Linked DNA regions of Neurospora crassa OR74A. The protein of the gene in region 1 binds, or shares a complex with, the protein of each later gene. Links are inferred from orthologs where the notes say so. Each region holds a gene or a part of one and is shown on either strand. Other genes may lie near its edges.

Evidence for each region.
Region 2: the proteins of pcn (region 1) and NCU08427 are in contact, whole or in part, in a crystal structure (PDB 1SXJ), measured with the Saccharomyces cerevisiae proteins. The link is inferred for Neurospora crassa OR74A from reciprocal best matches to the Saccharomyces cerevisiae genes POL30 and RFC3. Residues at the interface, in NP_009645.1 of Saccharomyces cerevisiae: Val40, Asp42, Ser43, Arg44, Val45, Leu46, Phe125, Lys127, Glu129, Lys210, Tyr211, Glu232, Pro234, Ala251, Pro252, Lys253, Phe254, Asn255; in NP_014109.1 of Saccharomyces cerevisiae: Lys73, Asn74, Ser76, Asn77, Asn95, Gln96, Asp99, Phe100, Ala101, Ser102, Thr103, Arg104, Gln105, Ile106, Phe107, Lys109, Lys112, Asn140.
Region 3: the proteins of pcn (region 1) and NCU06481 are in contact, whole or in part, in a crystal structure (PDB 2OD8), measured with the Saccharomyces cerevisiae proteins. The link is inferred for Neurospora crassa OR74A from reciprocal best matches to the Saccharomyces cerevisiae genes POL30 and CDC9. Residues at the interface, in NP_009645.1 of Saccharomyces cerevisiae: Ser43, Arg44, Val45, Leu46, Leu47, Leu126, Ile128, Thr206, Gly208, Tyr211, Glu232, Ala233, Pro234, Phe249, Leu250, Ala251, Pro252, Lys253, Phe254, Asn255; in NP_010117.1 of Saccharomyces cerevisiae: Pro36, Lys37, Gln38, Ala39, Thr40, Leu41, Ala42, Phe44, Phe45.
Region 4: the proteins of pcn (region 1) and NCU10467 are in contact, whole or in part, in a crystal structure (PDB 1SXJ), measured with the Saccharomyces cerevisiae proteins. The link is inferred for Neurospora crassa OR74A from reciprocal best matches to the Saccharomyces cerevisiae genes POL30 and RFC4. Residues at the interface, in NP_009645.1 of Saccharomyces cerevisiae: Leu25, Asp71, Ser74, Thr95, Pro96, Asp97, Lys117, Leu118, Met119, Asp120; in NP_014547.1 of Saccharomyces cerevisiae: His95, Gln98, Lys99, Lys100, Leu101, His102.

Annotation. Positions count from the first base shown.
Region 1 is NC_026501.1:9,447,000-9,450,568, forward strand, and holds pcn (proliferating cell nuclear antigen), read left to right. Parts: upstream 1-1,395; 5' UTR 1,396-1,631; intron 1,632-1,752; 5' UTR 1,753-1,754; coding exon 1,755-1,796; intron 1,797-1,892; coding exon 1,893-2,612; intron 2,613-2,685; coding exon 2,686-2,703; 3' UTR 2,704-3,058; downstream 3,059-3,569. Other genes in the region: NCU09240 (hypothetical protein), read left to right, coding at 1-694. UniProt on the Saccharomyces cerevisiae protein: This protein is an auxiliary protein of DNA polymerase delta and is involved in the control of eukaryotic DNA replication by increasing the polymerase's processibility during elongation of the leading strand. Involved in DNA repair.
Region 2 is NC_026502.1:4,032,089-4,035,516, reverse strand, and holds NCU08427 (activator 1 subunit 3), read right to left. Parts: upstream 2,231-3,428; 5' UTR 2,100-2,230; coding exon 1,966-2,099; intron 1,905-1,965; coding exon 1,261-1,904; intron 1,198-1,260; coding exon 806-1,197; 3' UTR 536-805; downstream 1-535. Other genes in the region: NCU08428 (MFS transporter), read left to right, coding at 1-133, 198-535; NCU10392 (hypothetical protein), read right to left, coding at 2,644-3,428. UniProt on the Saccharomyces cerevisiae protein: Component of ATP-dependent clamp loader (RFC and RFC-like) complexes for DNA clamps, such as the POL30/PCNA homotrimer and the checkpoint clamp DDC1:MEC3:RAD17 complex.
Region 3 is NC_026503.1:1,560,127-1,564,324, reverse strand, and holds the start of NCU06481 (DNA ligase), read left to right. Parts: upstream 1-1,387; 5' UTR 1,388-2,146; coding exon 2,147-2,175; intron 2,176-2,496; coding exon 2,497-2,825; intron 2,826-2,888; coding exon 2,889-4,198. Other genes in the region: ace-2 (pyruvate dehydrogenase E1 component alpha subunit), read left to right, coding at 16-102, 161-672. UniProt on the Saccharomyces cerevisiae protein: DNA ligase that seals nicks in double-stranded DNA during DNA replication, DNA recombination and DNA repair. The mitochondrial form is required for mitochondrial DNA maintenance but is non-essential while the nuclear form is essential for cell viability.
Region 4 is NC_026505.1:3,556,592-3,560,070, reverse strand, and holds NCU10467 (replication factor C subunit 4), read left to right. Parts: upstream 1-1,375; 5' UTR 1,376-1,484; coding exon 1,485-1,588; intron 1,589-1,659; coding exon 1,660-1,880; intron 1,881-1,980; coding exon 1,981-2,729; 3' UTR 2,730-2,968; downstream 2,969-3,479. Other genes in the region: arg-4 (arginine biosynthesis argJ), read left to right, coding at 1-358, 414-692, 753-780; NCU01294 (hydrolase), read right to left, coding at 3,319-3,479. UniProt on the Saccharomyces cerevisiae protein: Component of ATP-dependent clamp loader (RFC and RFC-like) complexes for DNA clamps, such as the POL30/PCNA homotrimer and the checkpoint clamp DDC1:MEC3:RAD17 complex.

The DNA of each region.
Region 1 (3,569 bases):
CGCTATCCCCGAAACCAAGTTCCCTCTTTCGCCCAACCGCGAGAAACGCCGAACGCAATTCCGCAAGCTCGACTCTCTATCGACGGGCATCCGCGGTCTCCAAGCCAAGCTGGCACTATTGCGTGAAGAATCCGAGAAAGCACTCAACGAAGCCGACGACATCTCTGAAGTTGGTTTCGACCTCCTGTCGCAATACGAGTCCATTGGCCAAGACCTCAAGATGCTGCAGCAAGCCTGGGAGGATGGCAAGGCTGCCCTAGCATCGGGAATCGACCGCAACGAGAAACGTATTTCGTCTATGAGCATGCTGTACTCGCCTGCTACCTCTCTAAGCGGGTTGACCACTGTCGGCGAAGAGAACGAAACCGGCGGCGGAGCGGAGGATGCGCTGAAAGCGCTCACCGGGGAGACGTCTCCCACACGAAACTCCTCGCCAAGTCCCAACGAGCCGGATGTGTTTGAGGCGGTTGCGCTATCGGCTCGGCCCAGGAGTATGCTGACCAGGGAAGAGAGATTGGTGAAAATGAAAGAGGAGAGAGAGATGAGGGCAATGCAGAGAGAGAAGGCGGAAGCGAGTAGGGGCATGTTGAAGGAGTTGGAGATGGTGATTAATCTGAGGCCGAAGAGACATACAACCATGGGACCAGGCGGGGGAAACGGCAGGAGTGCGGCGCCGACGAGGATTTCTTTATGACGACAGACAAACTCTGCGGCATTCGCGCTGTCTTTCTTTCGGGTTTCTTTTCTTTGACCACTATAATCTTACATGGCATCAAGGCATTGCGCGCAGACAAAAGAGAGGGGCGAACAACAACGACGAGAAGGTCAGCTTGCCAGTTTTCTTGAAAAGCAACAACAGCAACAACAACAACAACTTTGGGTAGAATGGCGTTTTGACGGACATACAGACCATGGGAACATTTGAAAGCTGGGGCAGGCAAGCGAGCAATGTGGGACACAGAATTTAACGGCGTTTACACAGTTTATACAGACGATCTTGGGCGGGCATTCTGTAACAAATTCTTTTTTGAGTTGGGGGAGGGTGTAAGATAGGTGAAATAATGTAATAATCAAAATATATTGGAGAATGGAGGTAGAACAGAGTTCGCGCAGAAATGAGGGAGTCGAATAGTTGAAGTCATATCATCGGAACTTGAAGTGAGCAGCATACCTTTGGTTCGACATTGCCGTCGAGACACGATCCAAACAGAAAGAGGGGATTCAGGGCGACAGCTCCCACTGAAAACGCGAAGATTGCGCCTGAAAGCGGACTAACAGCGCTGGAGAACGGGACCGTGCACCGGGAGCTAGCCTGAAGCGGTAAATCAATTAAGCCTAACCCCGGCTCAGCGCGTTTAGCTGCCATTAGCAGGCGCGTCAAGTCGCGAAGTGGGTGTCCCGGCACCACCTGTGGTATTGGTGGTTCCTCTCTTTTTATCGTCCATTGCCTGCCTGTTGCAGCTTTTTGAACAAAACCATAACTCTTCCCAAATCCAAATCTTTTCTTCTCTCTTCTTTCTTCGTCAAACCACGAGCGCCTCTCTCTCCCGAAAGTGATACCCAGCGCGCGCATATTTTCTTCCCTCTTTGTCTTTTTTTCCCCCGTCGAGTTCGGTAATTCACATCCATCAGTATGTCGTCTCTGTCTGAGCGTGAAGCTGCCTGCTCGCTTGCTCGCTGGCCCGGCACTAGGAAGAAAAGCTGGAGAACTGGAGTGATGGGTTGCTGACTGGAGGACTACCACAACAACAGAAATGCTTGAAGCACGGTTGGAGCAGGCGTCGATCCTGAAGAAGGTATGTCATGTCCTCTTCCTGTCAAGTGCTGTCTGTTTCCTTTCCCAGCTAGAAGACCCCCACTAACTCTGTCATGATGATGACGATGATGTCCAGGTCGTCGACGCCATCAAGGACCTCGTGCAGGACTGCAACTTCGACTGCAACGACTCGGGCATCGCCCTGCAAGCCATGGACAACTCGCACGTCGCGCTCGTGTCCATGATGCTCAAGACGGAGACCTTCTCGCCCTTCCGGTGCGACCGCAACATTGCGCTCGGCGTCAACCTGACGTCGCTGACCAAGGTGCTCCGCGCCGCCCAGAACGAGGACATCCTGACGCTCAAGGCCGAGGACGCGCCCGACGTGCTCAACCTCGTCTTCGAATCTTCCGAAAACGACCGTATCTCCGAGTACGACCTCAAGCTCATGGACATTGACCAGGAGCACCTGGGCATTCCGGATACCGAGTACGCGGCCACCATCAGCATGCCGTCTTCTGAGTTTAAGCGCATCACCACCGACCTCATGGCCATGAGCGAGAGCGTCAACATTGAGGCGAGCAAGGACGGCGTCAAGTTTAGCTGCCAGGGCGACATTGGCAACGGCAGCATTACCCTCCGCCAGCACACCAACGTTGATAAGCCCAGCGAGAATATCGAGATTGAGTTGAGCGAGCCGGTTTCCCTCACGTTCTCGCTCAAGTACCTGGTCAACTTTTGCAAGGCGAGCGCGCTGTCGAGCACGGTCAAGATCTGCCTCTCCAACGAGGTGCCCCTTTTGGTCGAGTACAACATTTCGGCTAGCAGCTACTTGAGGTTCTATCTTGCGCCCAAGGTATGTCTTTGTTTGTCATTTTCTGGGTGGTTGTTTTCTGTCAGGCGTGATGCTAACTGGTTCTGATTCACAGATTGGCGACGAGGAGTAAACGCCCCATTTACCTCCAACAACCGAACCACATCTTTGTTACGAACACCACGAAACTATGCCTTCATGTATACCTCGAGTTGCTATAAAATCATGGGGAGGAGGAGAATTGCAAGTCATGTAGAAGATAAGGGGTGATGCAGTGATGAGAAGAAGAAAAGGGATATGAAGAAAAAGAAATCTGTGTTTTTGAAAGAGTCTGGCACTAGTACACTACACACAAATGTTTTAGAGGGCGTTTTGTTCTTTCTGCTGCGAAGATGAATGTTTAGGGGAGACGACGAGGTGTCAATGATTATTGCGATGGCCTCCAACAACACACCTTCACCAAGGAACCCGATGCTGTTGTCGTTTCCTTTTTTTTTTTTTTTTTTTTTTTTTTTTTTGTCTGATGGTTTCTAACATTGATATCGGCAAACTGTCCTCCCTGTATCACTATGGTAATCATCGCTTCTCGGGAGTTCAGCTTGGCGTTGAAAGTAGGTATCTCAGAAGTGGGTTCAATCACAAGTACACCAGTACTGACATCACCACTTCCCGTCAGTCGGCGTGTTTTCCAGAAATCTTCCACCCGACTGTTTTTTTTTTTTTTTTTTTTTTTTTTTTTTTTTTTTTTTTTTTTTTTTTTTTTTTTCATCCGATGAAGTTCCTGGTGTTCACCAGCTTCCCCACATTGTTCATTCAATGTATGTAACTTACCTACCCACCACCTGCGTGACGTCCCCTCCCGCCTACAACAGCCCAGGGCCCGGGGCGCGCCCAGCAGCTGAATGGACTCCGCATTCAAGTTGCCCCTAACCCGCCCTGCAGGAAACTTTTTGGCGGGGCATGGGTGGTTCCTGGGGAAAAAAAAAAGAGTCATTGACT
Region 2 (3,428 bases), on another chromosome or scaffold:
GGCGATCGCAGTTTGCATATCTTCTTCTTGATGCTGCTGGCTGCGGTGGGAAACGCGGTGGCGACGGGCACGACCAAGGTGGGAGCACGGTTCTTTGCCATGTTCTTGATGCCCATGGGAGCAGTTTCTTCTTGTGAGTGGTTTTTTCGTTGCTTTATCGTAGTTCCTGGTGAAGGTGAGGACTAACAGACCCACAGACCAAATCATCCTGTCGTGGGTTGCCAACTCGTTCCCTCGTCCCATGGTCAAGCGCTCGGCTGCTGTGGCTATTGCCAACATGTTTGGAAACACAGCGAGTATTTACGGGTCATACATGTACCCGGCTTCGGCGGCGCCACAGTACATACCTGGAGGTAGTGCAAATTCTGTAATCTGCCTTTTTGTGGGATTGTTGGCGTTGTTCTTGCGCTACCTGCACAAATGGGAGAACAAGAAGCTGGAGAGGGCCGAGGCGGAAGAGGCTGAGAACCCAGAGACTGCGGCTGTTGCGGCGTCGGGTGATAGGAGAGCAGCGGGATTCAGGTACATCTATTAAGCTGGATATCATTAGCTAGTCTCGCGATGAATAGTGATTACTTATCCATCTATATTTCTTGCCGTATTGTAGCTCTCCGTCGTGATATCCCCCTGCCGTAGGAAGAAAGGGGCATAATATAAAAGGTGGAAATGAGGAGTTGGTAACTTCAGTCGAAGAAGGTAAAATTTGATCGATTGCCCAAACGCCAGATGCTTAAACTCCGAACCATAGATGCAGACAAAACAACACCGAGTAGCTTTTTGCTTTTGAGTCTCAACAACAACAACCCTATCCCATCAGTTCTACACCATTCCGTATCGCACCCACTACCGCACCAGTCTGGATCACCTCTCCGGCTCCGCTCGCTACCCGATGCTCAATCTTGGCAAGTTCATCAAGCCATGTGATCATGACCTGCGGCTTGACTTCCAGCTTGACGATCTCTTCCGACAGAGCGGTGATAATGTCGGCAAGGGCCAAACCTTGTGCAACCTTGAGGGTGTTGATAGTCGACAGACAGGTTGTGACGTCGCTCGTGCTCAAAAGTGTGCTGAGAATCTTTTTGATGGCGTCGGGTGGTGGGGCGGCAACGCAGTCGTAGATGGTTCGAATGGTGATGGTTTCCCGTACAATGTCCTTTTCGGCGATCTTGGGGGCGTTCTTTGGTTGGAGTGGTGTGCCTGGTTGACCTGGGTTAGCTTGAGGCCCGCAACAGAAGGCGAGACGAGGACACCACCACTTACTTGACGCGTGGCAAGCCTGGAGCACGTTTAGTGCCCGACGCATATCACCCTTGCTCAACCGCACCAGCGCATCGGTAGCATCTGGCAGAATCTTGACGTTTTCCTCGTCAATGACCTTGTCCACCAAGACACGAATATCTTTTTCTTTTAGAGGGCTGAAACGGAACCGTGTGCATCTCGACAGGAGGGCTGGGCTGAGCTTGTGGGAGTAGTTGGCAATGATGCAGAAGCGAGTGTTGGCCGTGTACTTTTCCATGATGCGACGGAGGGCCATCTGCGCTGTGGACGTCATAGCATCGGCCTCGTCGAGAATAATAAGCTTGAAACCAGCCAGCCCCGAGCGCGAAGAGGAGGAGCCGAGGGAGAAGATCTGCTTGGTGGAGGCAAAGGTCTTGATTTGCTCGCGCACAACGTCGATACCACGGTCATCGGAAGCGTTCAACTCGAGCACCATCTGGCGCATGTTGGCGGCGCCATAGATTTGTCGGGCCAGGGCGAGAACGGTCGATGTTTTTCCGGTACCGGGGGGACCGTAGAATAGGAGATGGGGGAGTCGGTTCGTGTCGACAAACTTGTTGATGGTTGCGAGAATGTCTTGTTGGCCAGACACATCGGAGAGGGATACGGGGCGGTACTTCTCGACCCTGTCACAGGCTGGTTAGATATTTGATAGGCATATGAAGACATATGGGGGGCAATATCTACCATGGGAGACTGTCTTCTGCTTCAACAGGCAGGTTGGCAGCGCTTCGCTTGCCCTTGGCCGTGTTGGTGGCAGCGAACATGACGTCCTTGGACACTGGGACATCAATGTCCATTTCGTCTTCAAAGTCCGACATGGTGGTAGAATTGGGCTGGGTCGCTGATGTCGAGGCTGATGTGATCTGAAGTCTACTCTGGAGGTTTTGCGCCGACGTGAACTTTATGGTTGGGTGGTGTTTTTTACTTGGTGAGGCCGGGAAAGTGAAGCTGGGAAAACGCGTCGAGAGGAAGGACAGACGCGTCGGGCAACAGGCCCCTCGTGTGGCTGGTTAATTGGTTTTGGGCGCTGAGCCACACACGGTTAGTGGAGTATTGGTACCCCAGCCACAGTTTAATGAAGCTCAACTGTTCTTCCACTCATTCATCCATGGTCTCTGTTTGAAAACTTCAACTTTACAACCTCAAAGGCTCACCCTCACTTCACTCTCCTTGTTCTCTAGGATGGAATCTCTTCACATGTGGACATCCTCTTCTCTTAGTGAACTAAGTTTACTGCTCTCTTTCCAATGAAATTGAACCACCAATCACATCAACGTTCCCACTCCAGTTCTGGGTCGGGACGCCAATATTGAGGATGCCCGACCAAGTGACTCCTTTGGCTACCAGCCTCATCACTCCGTCTCATCCCAACTCAAACCTCTCCCACTTATCTTCAACTCGATCCCAGGTATCTCTGTACATTCGGCCCACACCCGCACGCTCAATGCGAACCCGACCATCCGTCCTTGGATCATCCTTTCGTTCGATCATCATGACGTTGACCACGGCTCTCTTCTCGGCTGTTGCCGCTTGCACCAGTTCCTCTTGCTCGAACTTGTCTGCGTCTGAAAGAAGAATGAACTCGTGTGTACCCTTCGAAATAAGACTCAACCGTTGTTCAACGAACTTTCTTCGGTGGGACCACGACAACCATATGGATCCAATCCACTCGTGATCACCTCCCTCAGGATGTGTCGCATGTGTGATGGCATACCGCGTCAACCGTGTTGGCCGGACCCGAGGTAGTGGAGGGACCGCATCCTCATTGCCTCGGTCCTCAATCATGAGTCTGAACCGAGCGACGCGAGCCTTCAGGTGTAAAAAGTAGGGGTCCGGGCCAAGGCTGATTTCTGCTTGATATCGACCAGTGCTGTTGGCCGAAAAGTCAGCACCCGAGTCGTAGTAGACTGGTATAGTCCACCCGGCCCATGCCCAACTTGGCCACAGGGGTCTTTCTGTCTTCTCATCCATATGGATTCTCTTCGGCTCCCGTCGTGGTCGCCAAAGAAGCCCTGGATGCAGGAGCTCCCCCGTGGGCATCCCGTGCACAAACTCGACATTCTGAGAAAAGAAATGATCTTTGATCACGTTCAAGATACCTTGGATTCCATTCACGCGGTCGGTTATGAATGTCATATTGCGACATG
Region 3 (4,198 bases), on another chromosome or scaffold:
AATACATTGTTATAGGTGATGGTGCCAGCAACCAGGGTCAGGTCTTTGAGTCTTTCAACATGGCCAAGCTCTGGAACCTCCCTGCCCTTTTCGGCTGCGAGAGTAAGTAGCCCAGGTTTCATGGTCTTAGATACTCTTACTGACATGTATGATGGTGCAGACAACAAGTATGGTATGGGTACCTCTGCCGCCCGCTCGTCGGCCTTGACCGACTACTACAAGCGTGGCCAGTACATCCCCGGTCTCAAGGTCAACGGCATGGACGTCCTTGCCGTCAAGGCTGCCGTCGCGTACGGTAAGCAGTGGACCAACAACGACAACGGCCCTCTCGTGCTCGAGTACGTCACCTACCGCTATGGTGGTCACTCCATGTCCGACCCCGGCACCACCTACCGTACCCGTGAGGAGATCCAGCGCATGCGCTCCACCAACGACCCTATTGCCGGCCTCAAGCAGCACATTCTCGAGTGGGGTGTTGCCTCGGAGGAGGAGCTCAAGAACCTCGACAAGGAGGCTCGCGCCTACGTCAACGAGGAGGTTGCCGCCGCCGAGGCCATGCCTCCTCCGGAGGCCAACCAGCAGATTCTGTTTGAGGACATCTACGTCAAGGGTACCGAGCCCGACTTCATCCGTGGCCGTACCCCTGATGAGCTTTTCTACTTCAAGCACTAAAAAAGTTAAAATTGAGTAGAGAGGCAGAAGTAATGACAAACTAGATGGGTTTTTTCAAGTTACAACCAAGAAACTTGTCCTTTCCTCTGATGCATATCACAAAACCAAAAATGGTGCTGGCGTCTTTTATCTACGTCGGCCATCATGGACGGTCGTCACTTCTTCTTTCCATTTTCCTTGTATAATAAAACATTTCTGCGTAGCGCAAAACAGTCACAAACACAACCACACACACAAACACATATATATATATATATATCTAGACAGGTTTTAGGGGAAAGGGATGGGGAAAGGGAAGGCGGGTTATGAAATTGATAAGCTTTCAAGATAGCTGTCTTGTTATGATGCAACAGCTGAATGACTGGGCTTGTGAGATGAGGTCCGATATCGTATCGCAGCCTGCCCCTCCCTGCCCAGCCTCGAATTGCCAGCCCTGTCTGTCGTATCAAATCGGGTTCTCAGCCCAACATTTTTGAGCTGTTGGAGATTTGGAGATCAAATTGATGGGCGGTGCTTGGCGCTTACGTTGCGACGGTAGGCGCTACCCCAAATTTCGCCCGCACAGCAAGGGGTCCCTGACTGCTGTCACCCGTGCGCACAATAGTAGGGACTATTGCTTTAGTGTATGTACAACGAAGCACAGAGCCTTAAGCAAATACTACACTAGGTAATGTAGGGAAATGCGTCTCATGTGACCGTGCCACTTTACGCGACGGTTGCCTGGACTTTTTGTTAGCGGGAAAGGTAGCAGGGATCGCGTTAAGGAACCATGGACAGAAAGGCGCGTCACGTCATAAAAGGTTTAGCGCGCGGCGTAAGTAAGTAGGGACAACACTCGGTACACTACTACATACCTAGTACACGACGACGGCAGCAGGGAACTCCATAACCTAAGGGAAAGCGCGCCGACTGCGACTCAATACCAGGCAGAAACAGGCAGCAGCAGCAGCAGCAGCAGGCCCTATTTTTCTCAATTGGTATTGTTGGTAACCAGGTTACTGGATTGGAAGACTACCTAGGTATTTGTTGGTATAAAAGGACGAACGATCCGTCGTGGGAGGAAAGAAAGAAAAGTTCGACAATCCTGGCGCCCAGACGATTTCTCCCACTGCTTGTTAGAAGCAAGGGAGCTCCAGCTTCTGCGGTACTACCGACTGCGACTTCGACTTCGACTGCGACGAATTTTGCGGCGATTGGGTTGGCGACGAACAAAACTCGGGCGAGAATCGCAAAGACAAAGACAAATCAATTTCCCTCTTCTCAACTTGGCCTCCTCGGATCATCACTTGGTCGACTAAGTCTCAACTCGAACTCGGCTTCGACAACCTCACCGGGCGGAGGAGCGAACTTGTTATCAGCAGTTGGACTTGCTGGGCTTACACGACTAGGAGGAGGACGAAGAAATTACGCTAGTTACGCTATACATAACATCAACAACATCACGAACAACAACCCCAGAGATACCGGCACAAAAATGCCTCCCAAGCAGCAGCAAACGTTGGGGTACGTTAAAGATAAACCGAGGGGAGGGAGGCAGACTACGTTGGGGTTAGTAGTTGAGTGCGTAACGGATCGAATGATTGATCGCAAAACGTTTTTGGAAACCATTTTCGTTTTGTTTTTTTGGAGACAAATATCGAAAACAATTTTTGAAAAGACGATTTTGAAACCTCCAATTCTGGAGAGAGACACATTGTTCGATTTCCGGTTTACACACTTTACTATCACCATTTTTTGGAGTCTAGTCTATCCCTTTTCCCTTCCCTTCCCCTACTGAAGTACTGGCAGAACAAGAGGCTAACGAGATGACAAAACCCATTGCAGCAAGTTCTTCGGCAAGGCAGACGCCCCGGCGGGCGGGAAACAGCAGACAAAATTGTCTTTTGGCACGAAAGCGACGTCGACAACATCATCGAAGACGAAGGAAGAACCCAAAAAGGACGAGATTGCCGGCGAAGATGGGGGGCATGAAGAGGTAGAGAAGAAGGTGGAGGAGATGAAGATCAAGGATAAGAGTCCTGCCAAGACGGGGAGGGGGAGGGGAAGGCCGGCTAAGGGGAAGGAAGTTGCTAAGGAGGTAGCTAAGGAGAAAAGCAGCGCAGAGGAGGACGAGGATGTGATGGAGGTCGTGGAGGAGGTGAAGGAGGAGACAGGTGAGTTACGTCCTTGAACGTGACGTTGGTGGCATGGTGACTAACGACTGGGACACGAAGCAGGCAACAAGAAGAAAAGGTCACGGTCACCGACGACCAAAAGCCCTAAATCGAAAAAGGCCAAGACCGAGGAGGACTCGGAGGATGTTGCGCCTGCCAGCAAGCGGTCGAGGAGAAGTCGCAAGGTGGTTGAAGACGACGAGGACGAAACCATGGAAGATGTTCCCGCGTCTTCTGCGCCGGTGAAGGAGGAGAAGAGCAAAAAAGCAGCATCACCCAAGCCGGCACTAAAAAAGAAAAGTTCCTCTCCCGCACCGGTAGAAAAGGCAAATGATGCGGAGGCATCCTCAGCATCCGCATCCGAAATCGAAGCCGAAGAGGAAGACGAGGACGAAAAGACCGAAGCAGTTGCCAAAGAGGCCCGCAAGGTCATCCAGACCACACTCGCAACCAAGGTCAAGGACCCCTACCCGGACTGGAAGGCCGGCGAACCTGTTCCTTATGCCGCCCTCTGCACGACGTTTTCGCTCATTGAGCAGACGCGGAAGAGACTACTCATCATGGAGTACTGCTCTCTTTTCCTGCGCCAAGTCCTCCGTCTTACGCCCGACGATCTGCTGCCTACCGTCCTGCTCATGATCAACAAGCTTGCGCCGGATTATGCAGGTATCGAGCTGGGTATTGGCGAGTCGCTCATCATGAAGGCTATCGGCGAGACTACGGGCCGTAGCATCGCTGTTGTCAAGAACGACCAGAAGGAAATTGGTGATCTGGGGCTGGTGGCTGTCAAGTCGAGGTCAAAGCAGCCGACCATGTTCAAGCCCAAGCCGTTGACCATTCGCGGTGTGCATAAAGGGTTGATGGATATCGCTACGACTATGACGGGCACAGGTGCCCAGCAGAAGAAGGTGGATGGTATCAAGAAGCTTTTGTCTGCTGCGGACGCAAATTCGACTGGCAAGGTGGACATCACCAAGGACAAGGGCGGGCCCAGCGAGGCCAAGTTCATCGTCCGGTTCCTAGAGGGTAAGTTGCGGTTGGGGCTAGCAGAGAAGTCCGTCATTGTCTCCCTGGCGCAAGCCATGATTGCACACGAGTTCGCCCAAAAGGGGAAAATCCCCAGCGAATCCGACTTTAGCAAAGCCGAGTCGATCCTCAAGACTGTCTACAGCGAGTTGCCCAGCTACGACGTCATCATCCCCGCCATGCTCCAGCACGGCATCATGAACCTCCGCGAGCACTGCAAGCTTCGCCCGGGCGTGCCACTCAAGCCCATGCTGGCTAACCCAACCAAGGCCATCACCGAGGTGCTCGATCGCTTCGAGGGCCAGACGTTCACGTGCGAGTACAAGTACGACGGCGAGAGAGCGCAG
Region 4 (3,479 bases), on another chromosome or scaffold:
CCGTTTCCTCCACCGTACTACCCGCCGTTCTCAAGCACGCCGTCGACCGTTCGTTCAACAGCATCACGATCGATGGCGACACTTCCACCAACGACACCGTTGCCCTGCTTGCCAATGGTGCTGCTGGCGGAAAGGAAGTCGTTGCCAACACTCCCGACTACGATGCCTTCCAGACTGTCCTGACCGATTTCTCTACCGACCTTGCCAAGCTGATCGTCCGTGATGGCGAGGGTGCCACCAAGTTTGTTACTATCCGCGTTGTCGAAGCTGCTAGCGAGGAGGCCGCTAGGAAAATTGCCAGCACCATTGCCCGTTCTCCCCTGGTGAAGACTGCTCTCTACGGCAAGGATGCCAACTGGTAAGTTGCGGAAAATTATCCCATGCGTTTCGGCAGCTACTGACGTTGTCATTAGGGGCCGTATCCTCTGCGCTACTGGTTACTCCCTTGTTTCTGAGCCCGGCCTTCCCGTCAACGATGTTTCTGAGGTTGTCCCTGAAAAGACCAATGTTTCTTTCATCCCCACTGACGGCACTGCTGAGCTGAAGTTGCTCGTCAACGGCGAACCCGAGCAGGTTGATGAGGCTCGTGCTGCTGAGATCCTCGAGCTTGAGGACCTTGAGATCCTTGTCAGACTCGGAACTGGTGACAAGCAGGCTACCTACTGGACTTGCGACTACAGCCACGAGTACATGTAAGTTGATCCGCCCTCATTCGAGTTTGGGTGACGACTGCTGACATAAGATCTGAATAGTACCATTAATGGAGACTACCGCACGTAAGAAATCACTGATAAGGCGTTACTGGTACTTGGGGAGGATACCCGGAGGTAGACAGGATAGAAAAAGCTCATTTATGCCATACTCTGTGCCCTCCCCTTCTTTATTTCGTACTCTTCCATGATATGCACACGTCGCCCGCCACCCCGACCACACATTTCGGATCTAACTACGCTCCGTAATACACTTTGAGGGTGGTTTGCGCAACTTAAGCATGGAGGTAGCGAATCCTGTAATGGGAAAGCACGCACATTTGTCGAGTTACTCGAAGGGATGTGCTGCCAAAGGCCTCTGGATAGATGTTTGTGGCAACGTCAGACTAAGCTCTTCTCAACGCTGGCTTGAACAGAAGCTTAGTCTAATAAGAGTTTCAAAACCTCCAAGTCCGAAGGAGCCATCACGATTTTTTTTGGATTTTTTTTTTCTTTGGTTTTTTTTATCCCATCAAGACAAACGAACAAGGTCGGACACTGAGAGTTTGCTAGAAGCACTCCTAGGGTTAGGGTATGACGATCTCGGCCAGACCCATGCAAAACCACTTAAAATCGATAAACGCGACGCGTCGCGCCGCTCCACTGACCTTTTCCTCCAGACAGCTCAGAAATCGTAAACCAACAAACAACACATCGAGGATCGCAATACTTAGAAATCTGGGGGTTTGAAACAGGCCATCCGCACAAGAAAACTTCGATTATTGTCCACCCAGAATGCCATCAGCCAAAGCAGAAGAGAGGGGCGAGTCCTCAACCTCCATCTCCAAGGCTGCAACCTCGGTCTCCGCAAGCTCTTCCCCGACCTACGAGCTACCATGGTGAGTCTAATCAGGATTCAATGAACTCTCGATCTCCATAGGGCATCAGGCTGACCAGCAGTTACGAACAGGGTAGAAAAGTACAGACCAGTTTTCCTTGACGATGTGGTCGGCAACACAGAAACGATCGAGCGCCTCAAGATTATCGCAAAGGAGGGCAACATGCCCCATTTTATTATTTCAGGCATGCCTGGTATCGGCAAGACGACGAGTGTTTTGTGTCTGGCAAGGCAATTACTAGGTGATGCGTACAAGGAGGCGGTACTGGAGTTGAATGCCAGTGACGAGCGAGGTTAGAAAAGGACAAGAGCATCCAGCTCTGTGGCTATGAGCTACGCCAAACAACACAAAAACCCCCCCATACTGACATACCAACCCAAAAAAACAAACAGGCATTGAAGTAGTCCGCCAGCGCATTAAAGGCTTCGCCCAGAAGAAAGTCACCCTCCCCCCAGGTCGGCACAAGATCGTAATCCTCGACGAAGCCGACAGCATGACCTCGGGCGCCCAACAAGCGCTTCGCCGCACAATGGAAATCTACTCCAACACCACGCGCTTTGCCTTCGCCTGCAACCAATCCAACAAGATCATCGAACCTCTGCAATCCCGCTGCGCAATCCTGCGCTTCGCCAAGCTCACCGACGCGCAAGTCGTCAAACGCCTGCTGCAAATCATCGAAGCCGAAAAAGTCGAGTACAGCGACGACGGCCTGGCCGCGCTGGTCTTCAGCGCCGAGGGAGACATGCGGCAGGCGATTAATAACCTGCAATCTACACACGCCGGCTTCGGCTTCGTGAGCGGGGATAATGTCTTTAAAGTTGTGGATAGCCCGCACCCGATCAAGGTGCAGGCGATGCTCAAGGCCTGCTACGAGGGTAATGTTGATGCGGCTCTGGACGGGCTGCGGGAGCTGTGGGACCTGGGGTATTCCAGTCATGATATTATCAGCACCATGTTCAAGGTCACAAAGACGATTCCGACGCTGAGCGAGCACGCTAAGCTCGAGTTTATCAAGGAGATTGGGTTTACGCATATGAAGATTTTGGAGGGCGTCCAGACACTGTTGCAGTTGAGCGGGTGCGTGGCGAGGTTATGTAAGTTGAACATGGATCCGAAGAAGTTTGCGGTACCGAAGAAGTGAATAAGGGGGGGCTTCGCGAAGAAAAGAAAAACAAAATTGCGAAGGGGGTGATCCTGGGGCAGGAATAATGAGGTTCATAAAAGATAATACCCGAGCGAAAGCTATGAATTGAATTGTTTACTCGGCGTTGGTTTTGATGTTTAGTCAACTGGCATAGCATACTGCACTACAGAGAAAGGAGTATAGATGGTTAGCATGTAGCATTTGCGGTGTAGCCGGCAGCGGAGCATGAAGTGTAGAGGATTCCATTGAGTGGATAATATCCGGATGCGTCGTTCCTCGTGAGATGTGCAATTTACCCAGAAAAAGGTAGTAGGTATATGGAACATGGCATGTGAACTTTTGGTGCCGTCATTGAATCTTTTACTTTCCAATTTATATAGCCAACCCGGTTGCCCGGTACAGTGTGTAAATATTTTCCAGACCCGTCCAAACCCTCAAAAATCTCCATTCAAGAAGAGTAACAGAAGAAGTCGTTCATCGACACAATTTCAACATGTCAATCTCATTCACAACACATCCGAAAAAAGAAAAGGAGATTATCGCAATCTGTAAGTTCTTCGAGATGCCCAACACTAATATTTTTCTTTCACACAGAAACAGGCGACAACAAATCCAGAGGATAATACCTCCCGTTGACCCTAGCCCCACCGTTGCGTCCCCTCTCGGCAGCAGGCTCCCGGCGATGAGGGTCAACAGAGTGTGTCCTCCTAGACGGCTGCTGCTGGGTAGATATCTTTCGACCTCTAC